2 linked regions of the Oreochromis niloticus genome follow. The protein of the gene in region 1 interacts with the protein of each later gene in a pairwise test. Links are inferred from orthologs where the notes say so. Each region holds a gene or a part of one and is shown in the gene's direction. Other genes may lie near its edges.

What was found.
Region 2: the proteins of bcl2l13 (region 1) and pln2 interact in binary tests that used the Homo sapiens proteins (3 or more experiments, as listed by UniProt). The two-hybrid records come from large-scale screens. The link is inferred for Oreochromis niloticus from reciprocal best matches to the Homo sapiens genes BCL2L13 and PLN.

What each region holds. Positions count from the first base shown.
Region 1 is NC_031972.2:61,939,228-61,949,836, reverse strand, and holds the start of bcl2l13 (bcl-2-like protein 13), read left to right. Parts: upstream 1-4,415; 5' UTR 4,416-4,840; intron 4,841-4,846; exon of another isoform or gene 4,847-4,992; intron 4,993-5,808; 5' UTR 5,809-5,871; coding exon 5,872-6,013; intron 6,014-8,093; coding exon 8,094-8,183; intron 8,184-10,609. Other genes in the region: atp6v1e1a (V-type proton ATPase subunit E 1a), read right to left, coding at 2,222-2,316, 2,423-2,491, 2,591-2,680, 2,969-3,035, 3,531-3,640, 3,721-3,786, 4,240-4,272. UniProt on the Homo sapiens protein: May promote the activation of caspase-3 and apoptosis.
Region 2 is NC_031986.2:13,222,458-13,233,066, reverse strand, and holds the start of pln2 (cardiac phospholamban), read left to right. Parts: upstream 1-4,525; 5' UTR 4,526-4,685; intron 4,686-9,850; 5' UTR 9,851-10,001; coding exon 10,002-10,163; 3' UTR 10,164-10,609. UniProt on the Homo sapiens protein: Reversibly inhibits the activity of ATP2A2/SERCA2 in cardiac sarcoplasmic reticulum by decreasing the apparent affinity of the ATPase for Ca(2+).

The sequences.
Region 1 (10,609 bases):
GTCCAGCATTCAGGCGGCTACCTGAGGACACTCATGTGAGAGAAAATCTGCTCACACAGATATGTAGAGCCAAATACTGTCAATAAGGCCTCTGCAATGTTCTGAAGACAGTTAAACTTGTCAGGTAGTGATGTCCAGCAGGTGGAAATGCAAGCTCCATGAACACGCACAGCTGTGGATTCCAGCTGCTCGATGTCGCATTAACTGGTATCAACTCAGCCAGTTAGACAAATCTAGCTGCTCATTAAAGATTTCTGGTTTGATCAGAAAAGAAAACATTGGTCCATACACCTGAAAGTCCCAAAAGTGCATTGTGTCTCGAGTCTACGGATGTATCCATGTATCTCCGTGGTGCTGATGCTGTGCTGAGCGGACAGCTCCTGAAGCTTTTGAAGTGTCGGAATGTGGAAAGCTAACAACGTCCCTCTTACCAGTAGGCTAAGTTATTTTTAGCCAATTACAAGTTGAATCTGGTACTTGGGGTTGTTAGCTAAGATACCGTCATTAAGAAGAGATACAACTAATGTGTCTATGCGAGCTGATTTGCGATGTGCACCGCTGGCACGGCCATTTATTTTTTGATGCACCTTCTCAGATTAATTCACTGCGTGTTGTGCCCAGGGCTGGACTGGGACCAAAAAAAAAAACAGCCTGGGCATTTTGACTAAAGACCGGCCCACCAGGTATTAAAGCCATAAAGCCTTTGAATGAAAACGAACGCTGTTGTGACAGTGATGTACACTGTCTTGTTGGTATATGTATGATTTCTATACATTTTACATCAGATAAAAACTTTGGTTGTAAGCTTCAGATAATTATTTAAAAACAGCCAGACATTTTAAATGAGAATAAGAAAATATTTCCTTGTGCCCCCCTTTCCCTGTTAATGCCCTACCTGGCCCCCTGGCAAAACTTTGCTAGACCCACCCCTGCACAGTTACCAGCTGTCAGCTACTTAGAAAAGGATCCTGGTGTTATTTGTCTCTCAGAAACAGTTCATAACTTCCCTTCAACTCATTCATGTCACCTAAAAGGTAAACCTGTTTCTCCATCACCTGTTCAGCTCTGATGAGTCAGTAAGGACATCTCCTGGTTTCATCTTCATGTTTCCCTCTCACCAGATATACAAACCGACATCATGACCAGCACTTTTTTCAGCTGTGGCTCCAGCAAACATCAGCTGATACTAGAAATTGATATTAAATAAATTCTAACAACAGCTGATCAAGCTTAAACGTGCTGCTGTTGTTTAGCGCGACATCCGCTGGTTTCCTCTTTCTGGCGCAAAGTGGGCGATAAACAAACAAGAGAGAAAAGCCGATCAGCTGATCATTGATCAGTTTCATGACTGAAGTAGCAACAGGAGAGAGAATGAGAGAAGAAGAAACAGTTGCGTAACGACAGAACAACTCCACCTTTGTGTCTTTCTCATTCTAGCTGAAGTCCGAGACAAACTGCGTCCCCTCTCAGCTAAACACGAAACGCGTAATAATTTCTCTGAATGCGGGAGGATTCCGTCTTTTTACGGGACGGTTGGAAACTCTACTAACTAACCTTATGAATTAAATAAAGTTCAACATCAGTAACATCACAGCACCCACCCAGCTGTATAGAAACTCCGTCATGCTAGCTAGCGCGCAGTACGAGTTATTGTAACTGACTGTAAAAAGTCAACATAACGAAAATAAACTCCACCTAAACTTGGTTTATATCTGACTCCGATAGACTGCAGGTCATAACTTCTTACCTGAAGTTCAGTTCACCTGACGCTCGGACCGGCGGCCGCCTCGGGTCTCTCCTCGTCCTGCCTCCGATCTCCATCATCCACGTGCTGGCCTCCACCACTTGTTAATTTTACTGAATCTGTGGAAGCTCTGCGATAGCCACCACCAAAGTTCTTTTTACACACCGGCCAGCATCTGGCCAATCCACCATCTTTCATTGTTTATACCGTTACACCCCCCCCCCAAAAAAAAAAAAAAAAAAAAAAATCATCGGGCCACCGAGCAAATGCCCGGTATGCCCGATGGCCAGTTCAGCTATGGCCGTGCCATCAGTTAACCCTTGGCACGCGTGCCTAGGGTTGCCGACCCCTGTTATATTTGATTAAAAATACAAAAATTCCTGCATCTAAATCTTGACAATACCAAACAGACAATCTGACACAATCACATGACCTCCTTCGTCGTGCTAAAAAGTCAGAAGAACTGAATCATCTTACATCTGAGCTGGAAGAAAACGTTCCTTATCGATTTTGACTGTTATGTTGCTCTTCACCGCCTCTTTGTAGATCGGGATGTTCTTATTGACTGCAGCCTGTTGGGTAATAAAGAGAGAAAACCACTCTATGCTATTGTGCATTCAACAAAGAGGCAGATGGCCTGTGCTTTCTTTCCTAAATAACTAGCCAGAACAGCGTCACCTGAACAAGTTCAGCATCCTGCGGTCGGCAGCGAATGGTAACCTTCGGCTCCAGGAGTCGGTAGAATCCCTGAAACATTAAAAAAAAAAGCTCACTTTTTAAAAATAGAAAACTGAACATTATATCAACTTTTGGTTTGCAATCATAGATCATAATGGTAGATTATACCTGAAGCACCAGGCCCTCCAATAGACTGGAGTACTTAGCAGGGTCCTTAGCAATCTCTGCAAGTCTCTGACGGGCCTCGTTTAACAGATCCTGTGACAAAAACAGACAACTGGATACATTAGAAATTCATATATGACTCGTGATTTATGGTACGTGTAAATAAACAGCATCCAGTCTTTTTCACTGTACTGGAGTAGTGAAGGTCAAATACAGGACACAACATTTGCACATTATTTCCATGTGGAAATACGTACACAAAAATTTAATGCAAGAATGAAAGCTAATCATGGAAGCAAATTCAAATTCATCATTAAAGTTATGATGAATCTGAATACAGGAGGTTTCCAGTGGACACAGAAATGAGCATTCATCGCTCACCGTGATCATGTCGTCTCGGGCCTTCAGCACCTTCAGCCTGGCTTGGTTCATCAGGTTGGATCTCTGACTGTGGAGGGTGTTAATTACACTGATTAATTCCTTTTATCAGAGATATTCTTAAAGTAAAATTCCTGCCTCTTTAATTGGGGTAGAGCCTGCATTTCTTTGAACCAAACATGATTTTATTTTGAACTTTTTAGAGTCGTCATTTTCTCTTCTTCAGAGTTGTTGGTCCAGAATTGATTAAATCTATTTATGCTGCTTCCGTGTTGGTTAGTTCAGAGGATGCCTTACAAGCTATCAGAAGATCAGTCACTGCCTCAGAAAGACAGCGTTTACTCAAGAGATGTGAGATTGCAGAGTGTCAGATCTGTAAGTGTTTGAAGTGTGGGATAAACAGTGATAAAAAGCATCTCACAGAAACAGTCAAACCAATGGGACAGTGGAGCTAAAAAGAAGAAAGAAAAGGCGTGCTGTGGTGTAGCATTTCCAAAGGCTAACTAAATTTTTTTTTGATGGATGCATTCCTATTCGTGTAGTTTGAGTGACCACTCTTTCTCACATCTTCTTATGCTGCTCAATCTGCTTTTCCTTCTTCTCATAGTACTCCATGATTTTCAGCCGCTGAGTCTGCACCAGACGACCTTTCTCAATGTTGAACTCTTCCTCCGCCTGTGTAAGAGAAGGTTCATTAAATCAGTGGTCACTATCACAAAAGCCACAAGACTGACAGGCAGACAGGCTTCAGTTACCTTTGCATCAATTTCCTCAACCTTCTCATTGGCCTCTTGCTCAATAAAGGCCATCATGTGCTTAATCTGCCATAAGAAACACAAAAAGCAGCTGGTTCAAGTTCACATCTCTGACAATGTGCATCCTTTATCTGTCTTTTCTGTCTGTTTTCTGAATGATACATAGACATGCGTACACACTTTTACTGTTTTACTAAAACTGATAGTTTAGCATTAGAAAGTGACCAAATTACATTATTTATCGCTATCAGATGAACTTGACTTGTATTAATGGCAATGTTAGCATCTAGGCATTAATTTTAACTTTGCACCCGTTATAATGTAAACTGCCACCGACAACCAGAACTAAATGAATTGCGGCGTTGCCTTAAACGTTAAACATAGTGCGGAATAATGATTAACAGCGGGACAGTGCTGCAGTCCACGTTTCGGCCCGTTAACTGAGATTATGTATGTTTACCGTAAGTTACAACACTCGTCAGTGGGATGGACGTAGTTAAACTGGTCCATAAAGTTTACCTGTTTCTGTACGTCAGCGTCGGTGAGTGCCATGGCTATTCTCAGTTATGTTTATTGTCTCTTTGAAGTCTGTCAAACCAGTTGTCTCCGTCACTTTTACCGTCCACTGAAGCACAAACGGTTTGGGGTGAAAACACGGTTTGGCTTTCGTGGTCGAGCTGGCTACTGGAGGCAAAATAGAACTTCCGGTCTGCACTTTCAAAATAACATTTCGCGTTCCAGTTAAATATTTGTAAGAAGGGCGGGGTGCTAAGGTTGGATGCTCTCCTCTCAAAATTTTTATAGCTACAGAGAATCAAGGATTATCTCCCCCAATAACAGATATGTTATTGGGGGATTGTAAATTCCGCGAGTTTCCTCTTGTGACCACAGGTTGAAAGGTGTCCGGTAGCAGAGGAGAGTATTATTATGAAGGCTCTGACAGGAAGATTGGTCCCGGTTTTGTACGCTAACATCCAGAGTACCCTGTGTACTAACGGCTACCTGCCATTGGTGGTCTACCCTCTCCGGCTTCTGCTACAGGAGTGCGTGTGTGTGTATGTGTTCATAATTCTGTTCAGCTTGTCGTCTGTCCACATCTGGTTGCCTTTGGATAAGGACGGTAAGAAACGGACACCCGCTGAGCTTAAGTTAAAATGAAGTTTTGAATCTCCAGCACGTAAAACGTGTAACGTCAAGCTAGCTAACAGTAGCTTGCATGTGAGTTTAGGTGTTCCAGCGAGGGGTGCAGCGGACACTTACGTAATTAGTCAGGTAATTAATTAGCAAAGCTACATGTCTGGTTAGTAAAGCGAATGGCTCTGTTATTTGGTAGATTATTTTTTTGCGGGCATGCTGAAATCTTTTGAGGATAGTTGTGTTTATTTAATTTACGTTAATTATTGTAGCCGCTTTGTTATTTGATGATTGAACTTTTTAAGTATTCGGTTATACGCCATATTTTATTTTGATAGTTAAGCCCGGAAGTATTTTGTTTAATTTGGCAGACTTGACACTAATGGAGTTTTTGGTCCGCTTGGTGTCACCTCGTCTCTGGAGGACCATGTGGGGGGATTAACTTAGAAGTTACAGGGGGTTAAAGTCGTGTTTCATATTTGTGCAGTGATCATTTTATTTGAAAATTGTTTGGGGTTTTTTTATGGATGTTTTGTAAAACGACCATCTGTTTGCCACATGTGTTATGTAAATCATGATCTAGGCACAAAAAAGTACCCAAATATGTCCTGTCCCATTCTTCTGTCCTGAGTTGGGACCCATGCAGTCACAGAAGTCTAAAATCACTCTGTGAGTGACGGGGGAAATTTAATTTGTCCCCTTAGTGCACGCAGTGGGGGTAGGACACTGTAAACCTGAGGGGGGCATCTGTTTATGTCATTCATATAACAGCTTTTTCTTTTTTTCTTTTTAAAGATTAAATAACATATTGTATGATGTAATGCCTGAGTGTAGATATAGATTTTCTTAGCTTTTATTAATGGGTGCCTCAGCCTCAGCCAGCCCATCCTTCAGGCTGTAACGATTGTGCCTCTAACGAGATATTATTCTTCCTCTGGTTGTTATTTTCCCTAGGTGAGACGTCCAGCTTTGACTGTATGAATTAATGTGCCTGAGAGTCTGATACACATCTGTTCGATGGCTACCTCAGGCTCCACCGCTTCTGCCTCAATCCCAGCCACTGTGCCTGAGGGTTTCCATTATGAAACCAAATATATTTTGCTTAACTACCTAGGAATGGTGCCTGCAGGTAGATCAGACCAACCAGCTGCAGCTCACGGTGAGAGGAAATGCTACACATGGTTGTAACATAAAATATCTGGGGTGTGTAGGCACGTAACCACCTGTTTTGCCAGCTTAATTTGGCTCTGACTGGAATCTGACTTTAGCAGGAGAACACATTCAGAAGACCTGTATGGACACTTTAACATGATAGCTGAAGCCAGTGTCTGTAAACCAATAGATTTAGTGGATTCTCATCTAAAGCCCAGCTAGAATCCTTTCAATAACCCAATATGGTGACCAGAGTGCATAAAGCCGGCCTGTCTTCACAGAGGTCTTTACAACAACCCTGTTACGTGGCCCCGGGCATGCTGGCTCACATTTTTCTTCTTGTTCCCTGTATGCCCGACATACCAAAAAAGGTGTTGTTGAACAAATGTACAATATAGTAATGATTTTCTGTGTCTGCTATGTGAGACTAGAGAAATGATGTGTGAAGGTAAATGCCAGCAGCTGTTCATTTCTTTTAGTTTGTGCAACCAAGTTATGACCTCACAGCGTTAATTCTGAAATAAATCTTAGTGATTAAAGAGAGCACAAGACTTCTGGAGAGCCTCTTTGGATGATGCATGAAAGTAAAGGAGCAGAGGTATCTGAAAAATGTATTTGGAGCAAGGAAAAGAAGACGAGAGAGGGGGAGTTCTTTTTATTTTCTGTCCATTTTATTGTTGTGTGCATGCTTGGAATGGGCGGAGATGGCAGATGAGTGGCTGATCCCTGCTTTCCGCTTGACCCGGTCCAATTTCTGACAGCCTGTCATGTGCAATCACTGTAGCATTACTCACACACCAGTGGACCAAAGCAAAATAGTTGTCTGGCTAGCTGTCTGTCTAAATGCTGACACAGCACCAAGGCCAGGAAAAGCCAACACTGGTCCTCATGGCACCCATGCAGGGACATGAGAGAACAAGATCCCAGTTGTCAGAGTGTCTTCTTGCTTTTTGTTAAAAAATGTCATTATTTGATTTCATAAACTGAGAAAAGTCAGCTACTAAAGCGGTGAAGAATCCCCACTTCAGAAGTGATTCATCATTGCAACTGAACCAATGGAGTCCAGTCACACTGGAAATAACCAGTGCCTCTGGGTTGCATGTATGAACATTATAAAATGATCCCTGCATCTCTCCGGGGTGAGAGGTCAAATGTAAAACTTGATTTTAAAAAAAAAATTTTTTTTTGTAAATTCAATGCAGCCCCACTTGGTGCCTTTGTGTTGCGTGGTTCATTACACCCTGAGCAGTGTAGACTCAGTGCTGTAAATAATTAACCCCTGCCTTGATAGCCTTCATGCACACGATGACTGAGAACCATTAACAGTTTTTTGCTTTGAATTCAGGCTCGTCAGGCTGAGGAGGAGCGGCTGCCTGCAAAGGTGGTTCTCTCCTCCAAGAAAGTTGGTGTGCACGGCTGGATTGTTGACACGCTTTGTGTATTCATAGTGCAGGCATCAACCGCTCATCATTATAGTGGAGTCAAGAACTGGCCCAGTTTCCACTTTGATGTTGATCCTAGCCTGTTAAATATTTCAAGATTTAATAAAAAGTCGGATCCCACATGTGTTGTGTTAGCAACTTAACCCATTCTTTGTCAGATCCTCTATTTAATTTGTCAGATTATATCCAAAACCAGTGAGTGCATAACTTTTATGAATCCAAAAAAAGACAATGAACCTTTTCGAAAAAGCCACATGACCAACCTTTTTTTAAGTTGTTAGAATAGTTACATAAAGAAAACTAAACACATGCATAAAACAATCACAAAATAGCACAGTGTAAATATGTTCATGGTTCCTAAAATTATTATTGAGGATGCGCTGAAAGAAGGACTACTTTAAAAAGCGACCATGCAAATGCAACAAAAACAGCTGGCACACACTGAAATGACCGTCCAACCACAATATCCTGTTAAAATGCAGTCAAAGCAATTCAGAATTTCCAGAACAGCTTTTCTTTGGTCGTGTTTTAAGACATTTGGGGAAGTTCTGCATGAAAATTAAAGCGACTGTGTGGGAGAGAGCCAGAAAGAATGAAGGATAGAGTGACGGTGGTTCATATTTCATGTTTGTTTATCTCTTTCAGAAGATACAGAGGCTGAGAAAACAAGCTACAGAGTGATAAAGGAGCAAATAGAGGAAGGGCTGAGAGAACTGGATGGCGAAATTGCTGCCTGTAAGTGATCACAAACATACACAGCTACAATTAGGTCCATATATATTTGGACACTGACACAAGTTTTGTTTTTTTTTTTTGGGGGGGGGGGGGGGTTGTTTTTTTTACTTGTTTACTGAAATTATAGTGACACAATGTGTAGAATTTCATCTTTCATTTGAGGGCATCCACATTCAAATTGGATGAAGAGTTTAGGAGTTTCATCTCCTTAATATGTGCCAGCCTCTTTTTAAAGGGACCAAAAGTAATTGGACAATTGACTAGAAGGCTATTTCATTGGCAGGCATGGGCAATTCCTTCATTATGTTGTTTTTAATTAAGCAGATAAAATGCCTGGACTTGTTTTGAGGTGTGGTGCTTGCATTTGGAAGATTTTGCTGTGAACAGACAACATGCGGTCAAAGGAGCTCTCCATGAAGGTGAAACGAGTCATCCTTAAGCTGCGAAAACAGAAAAAGAAATCACATCTGAGAAATTGTTACAATATTAAGAGTGGCAAAATGTACAGTTTGGTACATCCTGAGAAAGAAAGAAAGCCTCTGGTGAACTCAGAAATGCAAAAAGACCTGGACGTCCACATAAGACAACAGTGGTGGATGATCGCAGAATTATTTCCATGGTGATGAGAAACCCCTTCACACCAGCCAACCAAGTGAACAAGACTCTCCAGGAGGTAGGCGTATCGATATCCAGGGCTACCATAAAGAGAAGACTGCGTCAAAGTAAATACAGATGGTTCACTGCAAGGCGTAAGTCATTCATAAACCTCAAGAATAGAGAGGCTAGATTGACAGATGAAACCAAGATCAACCTCTATCAGAATGAGGGCATGAAAAAAAGTGTGGCGAAGGTGTGAAACAGCTCCTGATCGAAAGCATCCACATCGTCTGTAAAACATAGTGGAGAGAGCGTGATGGCTTGGGTGTGTACGGCTGCCAGTGGCTCTGGGACACTGGTGTTTATTGATGATGTGACACAGGACAGAAGGAGCTGAATGACCTCTGATGTGTTCAGAGACAGACTGTCTGCTCAGCTTAATGCAGTCAAACTGATTGGGCGGCGTTTTATAATACAAATAGACAATGACTCAAAACATACAGCCAAAGCATCCTAGGAGTTTATTAAAGCAAAGAAGGGGAATATTCATGAATGGCCAAGTCAGACACCTGATCTTAACCCAGTTGAGCATTTCACTTGATGAAAACTAAACTTTGGACAGAAAAGCCCAAAAACAAACAGCGACTGAAAGCTGCTGCAGTAAAGGTCTGGCAGAGGATTAAAAAGGAGGAAACCCAGCATCTGGTGATGCTCATGAATTCAAGACTTCAGGCTGTCATTGCCAGCAAAGGGTTTTCAACAAAGTATTAGAAATGGACAATTTTATTTTCAGTTATTTAATTTTTCCAATTACTTTTGAGCCCCTGAAATGAAGGGATTGAGTTAAAAATGCTTTAGTTGTACACATTCTCATGCAATCTTTTTGTTCAGACCACTTAATTAAAGCTAAAAGTCTACACTTTAACTACATCTGAGTTGTTTAATTTAAAATTCATTGTGGTAAAAACCAAAATTAGAAAAAAGTTGTCTCTGTCCAAATATTTATGGACCTAACTGTAGTTCCAGAGATTAGCCTTCAAAAGCACTGAACACCATCACTAGTCTGGTCTTAAGTTTTTAAACTGAAGTTGATCAAAACTAAGTTCAGTGTGCAAATATGACACATGTACAGTTAAAGCTCTTTGGTTTCTTTCCAAAAAGCGTGAATATTGCTGCAGATTGCTGTGGTTGGTCACAGAAAAGCTGATTTTGATTTTAAGTGAATGATTGTTTTGTCTCACTCTGGTTTAAAAATGAGGATTTTTATCTTTCTTTCACAGCTCACACACGTGGGTGGTTGCTTCATCATGTTTCACTAGTCTAAGATGCTTTAATGTTATTCTTAAGTAAATATGATTTATGAGTCTCATTAACAGGATCTCAGACGTTAGTTCAATTACAATAATACATACAGAGAAAAACCCAACAATCATATGACCCCCTATGAGCAAGCACTTTGGCGACAGTATGAAGGAAAAACTCCCTTTTAACAGGAAGAAACCTCCGGCAGAACCAGGCTCAGGGAGGGGCGGGGCCATCTGCTGCGACCGGTTGGGGTGAGAGAAGGAAGACAGGATAAAGACATGCTGTGGAAGAGAGACAGAGATTAATAACAAGCATGATTCAGTGCAGAGAGGTCTGTTAACACATAGTAAGTGAAGGAGAAACACCCAGTGCATCATGGGAATCCCCGGCAGCCTACGTCTATTGCAGCATAACTAAGGGAGGATTCAGGGTCACCTGGTCCAGCCCTAACTATATGCTTTAGCAAAAAGGAAAGTTTGAAGCCTGATCTTAAAAGTAGAGATAGTGTCTGTCTCCCGAATCCA
Region 2 (10,609 bases), on another chromosome or scaffold:
TTGCTGCTGTTCACGTTCACTGTAGTTATTCATGCCCAGGTTTACTGACCCAAGGACTGGTCTCAGACTGGTCAGTGACTGCTTGGAAATCTCTGGTCAGCAGGTAAACCTATGTATTGGACAGTGGTGGTTGGGGGTTGCTGACTATTATCATGTGAAATCATTAGTTGTTAATATAGCAAATTTTCAAAGAAGCTGCTGGACCTAAAACCTCTTTTTTTCATTACTTTGATCAGTGGCAGATTGCTGTGGGTACCCGAAGTTTGCAGGGAAGACGCCGAGTGATAGTGAAACAATGAAAAGAGTGACACAAACCAGAAATGGAGACTGTTAGCCTTGAAAGCAAACGTTGTGCTTTACAACAGAAACCAACACTTTAATCAAAAAGCGCAAGTTGTACTCCGAAGAGGGACAATCTCTGTTTCTGGTTTGAGTTGCAACTTTTGAAGTTTTACCACTGCTCGGTGAATAGTTTACAAGTGCTTGCAGACAAATCTGCAGCAATTTGCAAGCAACTAAAGCAATTGCAAAGAGGTTTTTAGGGTACCACTAAATACCTCTTCATCACCAATTTCTTTTACCAAACAATCAGGGAATATTGACCGGGGGGTCTCGGATTAGTCTCTTGCCTGTGTGACTGAGGCCTAATACTGACTTTTTGTTGTCTTCTGGATATTGTTTGTTTCCATTTTTTAGGGGATCTTCGCCTGGATTAAAATAGTCCATGGACCAGCTCCAACCACCTGGCTGTATTTTGCCTAAGTGCAAGGTATGGGCGTACCTGTCGCCCTTTATTTCATTTTGGTGGCTAGCAGAACGTAACAGAAATAACTGCAGTGGTGATGAGATCTGCTCAAAGACAAGTGTGTTCATTACAGGTTTAACCACAAGCACCTCCACTGAAATCTCTGGAAGGTGCAAACGTGAGTGTGAATGGATGTCTGTCTCTATGTGTCAGACCCGTGACCGATTCTACAGATGCTACTGTTAATTTAGAAAATGCTTCAAAATATCTCATAATTAATTGCCAGGTTACATTTCAAGATGGCTGCCAAGTGTCAAATCTTGCATACATTGTTGTTGTCTTTGAGCTGCTGTCATTCAGATCCAACACTCAGGGCCTGTGGATGTACTTCAGATCATTAAAATTCATTATACAGTTTATGAAAAAAATCTATAATACAAGAAGTTCATCCTCTGGGGAACATGAAAGCTTCTACTCAAATATATTTTCTTTGTATGTGCGCAGCGAGAATTTTGAGTGAGTGCAAAACCTTAGACTGCTAGAGAAAGGGCCAGGTGTGTTCATTACAGGTTTAACCACAAAAGTTTAAAGTGCAGTATTTTCTTTTTGCGTCTCTGTTTAAAAGAGCAAATCTCTGACTTCTGACTGGTAGCAGCAGCAGCTCTGTCTGTTTTCTCTGCCCTGCTGTGGTTTTCTTTATATGAGTCAAGCTGTTTCTTTCCCTCTGAATCTTTCTGTCTTGCTAGTCGTGGGTTAGAGCAGTCTGGTATTTCACCATGTAAGGCTGCAGAGCTGCACCACTCTAGGGATTTAAAAAAAAAAAAAAAAAGGAGGAAACTATTTTCCTAGTGTAAGAGATTTTATAATTACTTTTCAGCTGGACATAAAGGCTCTGTGTGCTCATGAAGGCAAGACAGAACATGATGATGACAATGAAAATTAAGTGCAGAGACACTTAATCTACCAGATAAACGCAAATATTTATCATCACTTTCAAAGGACTTTACATAACAGGAGAGAAGCGATTATTTTTGCCAAGAGTGTTATTTTTAGACTTCCAGTGACAGCAGTGGGCCCAGTTTCAGGAGTGTTCCCACTCCCACACTTCCACACCTGGAGGCTGTCCAGTGCAGCAGGAGCTGGATCTGTCCACAGCTGAAGAGCTTTCTCAGATGTGCGAGAGCCTACCTCAAGAGCACCTCGGAGCTGAAAATGATTTGCGCATTCCAGACTTAGAGTTAGATTTATCCCTTCAGTCCTGGCATCAAACAAACACAAAGACACAATGAGCTCTAACCCTCAGTCGGCCACTGGCACCTCACCACTGCCCAATGAAAGCCCGCCTGCTGATTATCAGCAGTAATATTCTGTTGCCAAAAATCAATCTATACCTAGCATATGTCAAATATATTTCACATTAATACATCAGCTTGATGCCAAATTCTTTTTTGTCCTACATATGCCAAAGTCGGTCCGTCTAATAGATCAGTACTGACTTTTTAGAGCAATTACTGATAGATTTTTAGTTAGTAGTTTGAAATCTACCTTTATGGCAACTTCAACAACTCTAAAAAGACCATCTGCACTATATCTGTCATCCCTCTAACTACATAGTTATTGGAAAACATACCTTTTAGGCTTCAATTTTAGTGTTGCTAGCAGGGGTTAATTCAACTGTCCTTGATTCCTTGAGAGTTACTGCTATAGTCTATCCAAACGTGATAGCCTGTCACGTGTTTGGACACTTTTAAAACTCAAGTGATCGAATATAACCCAAGAAAACTGAATGTATTGATTTCCATATTACTTTGTACCATTATAGTTCTGACAACCAGCCCTGTTTATCCATCCATAGCTGCTGGACAGTGTATTATCATCTGGCTACTGGCTTTAAAAAACAATCAGCTCTTCTAAAAATTTCCCGTCACCGTTGAAGTCAGCGCAGCCGGTTTCTCCACCTGATACTTTCCAGACTGCCTTTTAGAGATGACGGTCATAATTTTTGACTGTTTGACAAGTTTTCTCCCCTGTTACGAAATCAGGGTCGACAAAAGTTTTCATCCAAGGTAGCAAAGGATGGCCCAGGTGCCTCCAGACAGTCCTGCAGGTTAAATGGGGCTAACCAAAGACTTTCAGAGGTTACTAACCCTGCATGGATCACGACAAGCAGGCTTAAAAACAGTCTCTTAAGAACACTCATAATCTGTACATTCAACAACATCTGGACCCTTTTAGTCCCCAGATAAATGGCTAATTTTGGATTTCAGAATGCATCAGGAAATAATGTCCCAAGTACAGCACGTCCACTACTCCTTAGATTTAAATTCAGTCTTTCTTACTAAACGTCCTTTTCTTATGATTTTGTGCACAACAAATTCTTCTTCATGAACAGTTCTGACTGTGCTTTTGACTCTCGGCTAATATGATATTATTTTATTATTATGTTAATTTTCTATTTACAAATGTTCCTGAAACAGTGGAGCTGTCTCCCAGAGGGAGGATCAAGGTTCCCCTTCATGTTTGGGAAAGATACAGCTGTCATAAAAGATAGAACTATCTGCTTGCCCGTGTTCTCGGATTGTTTGAAGTGTGTATCCATGTGGAGTAGAGACCAGCAACATCAACAAAGCAGACTTCCCAGTATGTGACTGACAGCCTGTTTACATGCTGATTCCCCTTATAAGGCAGATGCAATGCTTTCTGGGCCACAGCAGGGGGGTTATTTTTACTTTTTACAGACTTCTTTTTGAAACCCTTGTCTCGACTGATTTCTCTAAAGTGGAGGATGCTGTCCAGGACTTCACACACTTCGCAAACACACATACACACAATGATAAAAATACTTTTTTAAATGAAATTCATACAATGTCAGGTAGACCCACCTTCACAGCTAACGAATTTAAAATAGCTTCAAAATGAATGGATCTGATAAGCAGACTAGCTTTCACAAGTATTACTGTGACACATTAAATTCACATCCAGGCAAACAAATCTGCTGTTTGTTCTCCACCAGCTGCGAAACACAGAGTTAGCGAGTTAAGCAATAGAAGAGAAATAACTTTCTCGTGGCTGCTTCAACAATTTCAAGGTCCCAGAGGATCAATGATGTGGTCATGGCCAAATGTATACTGTAAATTTAGAGGTGTCATCAGCTGTTCAAAAAGCACAACACATGTGCCAAGTGTATATCAGGCTGCCAGGATAATGAAGACAATAGGGTGGTCTAGGTGTGGTATTTGATCGGAAGCCAGATTTCAAGTGATCGCAGGGACGTGTTTGGCCCCTCCCAGCAGCCACGTCATTAATGCATTAAAGAAAGGATAAAGAAAGCACGCATGGTGAGGATGGCATGGCAGTAACACATAAAGCATCTCTTTCTTCACAGATGGGCACAGTGCAACAGGACTGGTGTCCTTCTAAAGCTGGCAAATTTTCCACATTTCCCAAAATAATTTTCCCAGAAAACAAATCTGCTCTAGGAGTGTGGCTAATACGTCAGCCATTTAGCCCAGAGAGCTTAAGAGCATTACCATGCTTTCCCTGAAAAATCTTAAATGAACAGTAATACTGCATCATCAATAATAAACTATTACAGAGCCAGAAACAAAAAGTATTGTAACGTCTGCGTATATGACTGAGTTGTTTTAAACGAGGGAATGACCTCGCGATCTCAGCTTTCAGAACTCTCACCCAAACTTGAACCCTGAAATGCAGCGGTACGTGCCGGTGGCTGCATGTATAATTCAGGAGCCCTAATACAAATTTGGTATCCCCACTCTCCTGAAATCTTTGCTGGGATGTCCTGCCTCTCTCTCTCTCTCCTTTATTTCTCCCCTCCCTCCCTCTCTCTCCATCTCTCACTGTGTTTACAGCCTTGGAGAGGACGGCATATCTGACATTTCTCTCTCAAACTCCAACCAGCTCTCTTCTCATCTGAAAGGTAAGAGCCAGCATCCTCTGAGCTGCTCTGTAGGAAGGCTGACAGAGAGTTGATGATGACAAATGATGATACAGACAGGATAAAAGCCCAGTAGGGTAAATCTTGTGATAAGAAGAGTCATTAAAACGTATTATTATTGGTAGCTGAGTTATTTGAGTCAGGTACTTAACTGGTTAGGGACATAAAGGACATTTGTACTTGCAGAAGTTAAACGGTTACAGGAGATGTTTTATGTTAAGATATTAAGGAGCACGATATGAATCACTGATTCTTATAAAGTCATTGCTCACTTACAGTAAATACAGCTTTGTAGAGAGAAGCAGGGGGAACAGGGACTGGGCTAAAACTCCCAGAGGGATAAAGACTTATCCCAGATTCTTACATTCCTATCCCGAACACATGATTTTATTTAAAAGCACTGAGGAGTCAAATCAACTCTATCTTAGTAATACTTAATGCTGCAGTACGATATACAATATTTCCCAGTGTGGTCCAGGAGAATTCACTGTATTTCTTTTTTTTTTTTTGCTCCATTTGATAATCTTATTCTATTTCTAGATGTGTTTCCATTAAAAAAATATTAAGAAGAAAAAAATTTTAAGATACTTTTAGATGTATCTTTACTTCACAATGACCTCTCAAGGAGATACAGTACATGGAGCGAGTTACGCACAAAAAAGCAACACTAGAAAGAAGTGGGTGGTAAGATTTTCTTTCTGACATGTGACAAATGCAAAATACACAACAGTTGGTAAAAAAAGAAATCAATTATATTTAATACTATGAAACTATGTTTATATCATGCTATACAATGCAATATTACACATGTATATATTTTTAGACATGTTTATTTATGATAAAGACCTTAAATTTTGTACATATATATATATATGCTGCCAAATTTAAAGTGATTTATGTGAGGTATTGGCTCCCAACAGCTGCTATCAAGGAGTGGGTGCAGCTAGCCATGACCCAATTAGAGTAGCAGGACAACATCAGTAAGCCCATGCATCTGTCTAACCTACATACTTCACAGCTGTCAATCATTTTCTAAGAGGAAATGCTAACATTACACCAGCTACTTCTCTTGCAAGTGCTGATGTTGATTGCAAAGACAAAAAGCATCGCTAATGACTTATTTTTAGTGTCACTTTAGCCTCTAGAGTGGGCAGAAAGTGGCGTGCATGTACCTGCGCGCTCTGGCACACAGCGACAAAACTCACAGGAGAAAAACAGAAGATTAATTCAGTTTATTTCAGTTTATTTTGAAACTATTTCCATCTCTAAAAACTTTATTACCAGTAACATCAGCACCATTATTTTCCACTTCTGTGTTGGTCACACTGGAGAAATCTATCGCTTGGCAAGAACGGCTAACAACAGCTGATTGTGTTTATAGGACAACGCGGTCCTTTCAGCAGCCCAGAGGAGCAATCTGCACTTTAACGGTGATAATCTAAAAATAAAAACAGATTTCTCCTCGAGCTTTGCACGGTAAATACAAATAAGCTAATCAAATGATTAAATGCACTGTGTTTTTTGCGTGAGGCCTTTTAGATAAATTTCAAAAGTAGCAGCAGAATGGTACAGTAAAGTAAAACATAGATTCATTTCCTAACCCGCTTTACTGAAACTGCAGGAGGTAAAATAATATCACCCAAATGATCTACTGCTTACTTTTTGGGGCCTTCTCCATATTAAAGGACGTGGCTAAGATGGGAAATTACAGTTAACCTAGACTCCTCTTTTGATTTGATTTGTTGGAATAATTTGAAATTGAATCCATCAGGTGTTGCTTTGAGATTATTGACTTTTGGTTAGGACACAAGATAGCATTCAGCTAATGATCCTTTATCACCAACACTTTTAGAAGCCTGGGAGCTTATTAATAAATATTATAATCCCTCAGGTTTAATCAGTAGCCCTTTTGGGGCTGACACAGTGGCTCATGTGTTCCATTAAACTACAAAATTACCACTGAAATAAAGGCCACAGCTTCAACCTAAATAAAGGTGTTGTGTTTGTGAAGTTAGCTAGACCATGTTTCCTGTGACACATTTGGCCCTAAGCCACTTGAGATGTATAAACAGGCTAAGAAGCAAAGTAGGAAATGATGACGAGTAAAGAGCTTGCTGAAAATAAGAAAATAGATGTATGCACTGCATCAGGATGTAGGTGTGCCTGTGTGGGCCAAAAAAGATGAAAGCTTTATATCTACTGTCAACATTTCATTTTCACTCATTTTGTGCAGTGGAAATGAAGATTATTTGCACTCTAGACACAAGAAAGAAAAGCACAGCCTGGCTGACTGACAGAGCTCAGTTTATAATGATGCGGCTGCAGACCAGCCGAGGATGAAGCCGAGCAGCGGTGGCTCGCTTGTTATCAGACACGCGGTGTGCAGACTGACATACAGAGAGAATGTAATTTCACCTCAAAGGTCAAACTACAAGCTGCACAAAAATGCTAATTTCTCATATAAAAAGTGAGAAAGGAAGCAAGGAGGAGAGAAGGATGAGTGGAAGTGGAAGGCTCATGACCTCGGGCACAGGATGATTGAGAGGAACAGAGCGGGGCAGGGAAACACCGGGGCGGATGAATATTAATTTCTATAGGTGTAGTTTGAGCTGCTGTCAGAGGGAAGCCCAGAATACAAACCGTCTGTGCAGAAGACGCACAAGCAAAGATTTTTCTTGATTGCTTCAGTCCAAACACAGTTTGTCTGCAGACCACTAGATGGAGCTGAGGAAATTCATTTTACTGTTTAGTAAAAATGGACATTTTTAGTGATAAATATGAAGTGAAAAAAAAGTTTATTTGGTTTAAAAAAACAAACATAATACTTATTCGTGAGGATTGCACATGTGTTTAAATAGTTTTGTATTTTATAACCTGTGTCAGCTATACTCAAAAAGCATAGTTGTGTCAGTCTGAAAGCTTTCTGTCATTTTAAATAGTTCTATTTAGCATTATTAGCACTTTGACCTTCAGATCAATCTGCTGACCTTGAAGAAGAGGTCAGAGGTCAAATGTGACAAGACATTTTAAATCTTTATACTGTACTTTTTATATGTTGACTTGTAAGAATCAGTAAGTTTTAAGGCTTTTTGTCAATTTTCGACCAATAAATCTTTGAGTTGACCTTGAAGACCTCAGTGGACGACATGACCCCGCTCTACACCCATACAACATTTTACCAGCATGGATACAAAACATTTTGAGGTGTTGTGTTTACAGACAATACCTCAATAAAAACCCTTTAATCACAAATAATGAGCTGAAAGAGCGCCACCTGTTGACCCAAACCAAACAGGACTTTCAGCCTGTCCCTTTCAGGCCACCCTGAAGCTCCATAGCTGATAAAGTCAAAGCCTACTTCTACATGGAGCCAAATATTTAGAATCTAATGAGTTTAAAAGTCCAGACTGAACGCAAACGCTCTAAATCATGGGTGTCAAACATAAGGCCTGAGGACCAGATTTGTCTAAGCACAGACTCAGCACAGACAGATTTCTTTCATTTACTACAGCAGCATTATTTTATCACGTAGATAAAGAGACGTACTGTTGAAACCACTCCTCGTTCTCTTATATTAATATATGTCAGGGATTCAATGTGTAGTTAAATCTCTTCACACTGATAGAAAGAGGAGTTTCACTGGCTGCTTCTGTGGGGTGGAAGAAAAGAAGAAAAATCATAAACAGATGAGAGGAAAAGTTCAGCCTGATTACTTTCTGATCATTCTTGGTGCATTTGTTCGAGGACATACAGAGACTTGGAGGATTTATGAGTAACAGTGATTGCTTGTGTTGATGAAACAGCATATGTACGTCCTGAGGAGCTGGTCAAACATGGGCATGAGATAAAACAGGTGATGATGATGAGAAAGACACATGCAGGACACAATCAGCAATTCTGTGCTCGTCACCTGGCATGAAAACAGCAGATTTTAGTGTCTTTTTCTTCTTTAATCAGGTTAATACGCTGAATTAATGAACTCTGTCAGTACGCCTCTACACACAGGTCAAAGCTAAGACACGACTGTGTACCGGTCGATTACTCCAGAAATGAAACCCCTCAAACCTCCTTCTTCCAGAGCCACGCTACGCTCCACTTCAGTGAGGTCTGATCAAGCGGGCTGGAGAGTTAACCCGTGGGGTCTGAGAAACTGTGTGCACAAGTGTCAACATGTCAAGTGATAATGAGTGACTCAGAGGAAGATTACGGGGGTGGAAGGAAAAAAGTGAAATGATTAAAAATAGCCATGGCTGCCTTTTTGCTTTTATTTTTACAGACACGAGGAAACAAGATTTAAAAAAAAAAATAAAAATGGCACATTAGAGTTTAAAAGTGCAATTCAAGTATCATAAGCGTAAGTCATAATATATGCAGTATGGGGCACTTTTCCTTTGGCGCCCCCCTGAGGATAAACTTGAAACTTTGCACAGAGGACCTCCAAACTCCTGGATTACCACCCTAACACCTACACCTTCTAGCAGCAAAGCTCTCAGGTTCCTAAGCTGTGTGTAGATCGCTGAGCCTCTTTTTGTAATGCGGGATGTAATGTACAATGTACCCAGCAGGGGTGCGCCTGTGTGGATTTTAATCTTGTTAAAAATAGAAAAGACCTTGGCACAGCCGATGCACAAGTGGGAAGATTTTTCTTTTCTTTTTTTCGCTGTGTGCAGGAGCCTCTAATGCGAGAGCACGGTAACCTTGTCACGGTGCCTCTGATCTGGGGAAAGTCACAGATCAGATGACAAAAGGGGATTTAAGCCAGTGTCGAGAGCCTGCAGCTGCACTGTGTGACGTGCTTTTATTTCCTGCTTACGCACTCTGCTTACAATCTACGACCCCCAGCTGATTGGGATGTAATGACAGAGGGGGGACAAAACATATTATAAAGTCATGAGAAACTTTTTTCTCCTCCCTCTTTACAAACATGTCCCAGGACTGTGGTCATGACATTTGTGTTGCTGCCACTCAGACTACACTCCAGCTTAACACATCATCAGGCCTCAGCTGGCGCCTCTTGAGCAGCCGTCTTATCATCACACTATGTAGTGCTGATATGGAAAGGTCGCATGAGGGGACGAGGGCCTGGGGTGATTCTGAAATCCCATTTTTCATGTGTTTAACAGTCTCTTTTTTTATTTCGCCACTAGAAAAGAGAAGATAAAGCGACTGCCACCTGACCCGAGCTCATCTTCAGATCAACACCCCCCCATCCCCCCCATCTCTACAACAACAGGCCCAGCAGCCTGACCTGAACTCCCTCGTCTCCCAATCGAGCCGATCAAACTGTAACCGGCCTTCATGGAGCGCGTTCAGCACATGACCAAATCGGCCATTCGCCGAGCGTCTCAGATCGAGGTGAACCCGCAGGCCAAGAGGAACCTGCAGGAGCTGTTCGTCAACTTCACCCTCATCCTCATCTGCCTGCTTCTCATCTACATCATCGTCCTACTGAGCAGCTGAGAGACACGTGCAGAGAGAGAGTTTGGGCAAAGATGAGGGTTTCACTGATACATGCAGATATATTTTTAAAAAAGGATAAGAAGCAATAATATAAGTGGCATGTATCAGCTTAACCCCGTTTACCAGCAAGGCGCGGAGAAGGATCACGGAGGCATTGGCCAAACTCTCAATTCACAGCAAAGCTCAAGGGTGATGTGGGAGCTGATCGGGAATCAGCTGCGCTGTCTGTGTCTCAAGGGAATGATCGAAAGTGACCCGACTCCAGCAGTTTGTAACCTTCACCTCTTCCTGCTGCTCATTCAGATTCACACTGTGCTCGCTTGCAGAGGACAGCGACTCCCGCTATGCACGCATAAGCACGAGTAAGTGCAGCGATGCTGAAATATCAATACATCACCAATGTTTGACTTCTATTTCCCACAAGCCTACCCCCCTTTACTTCCTGT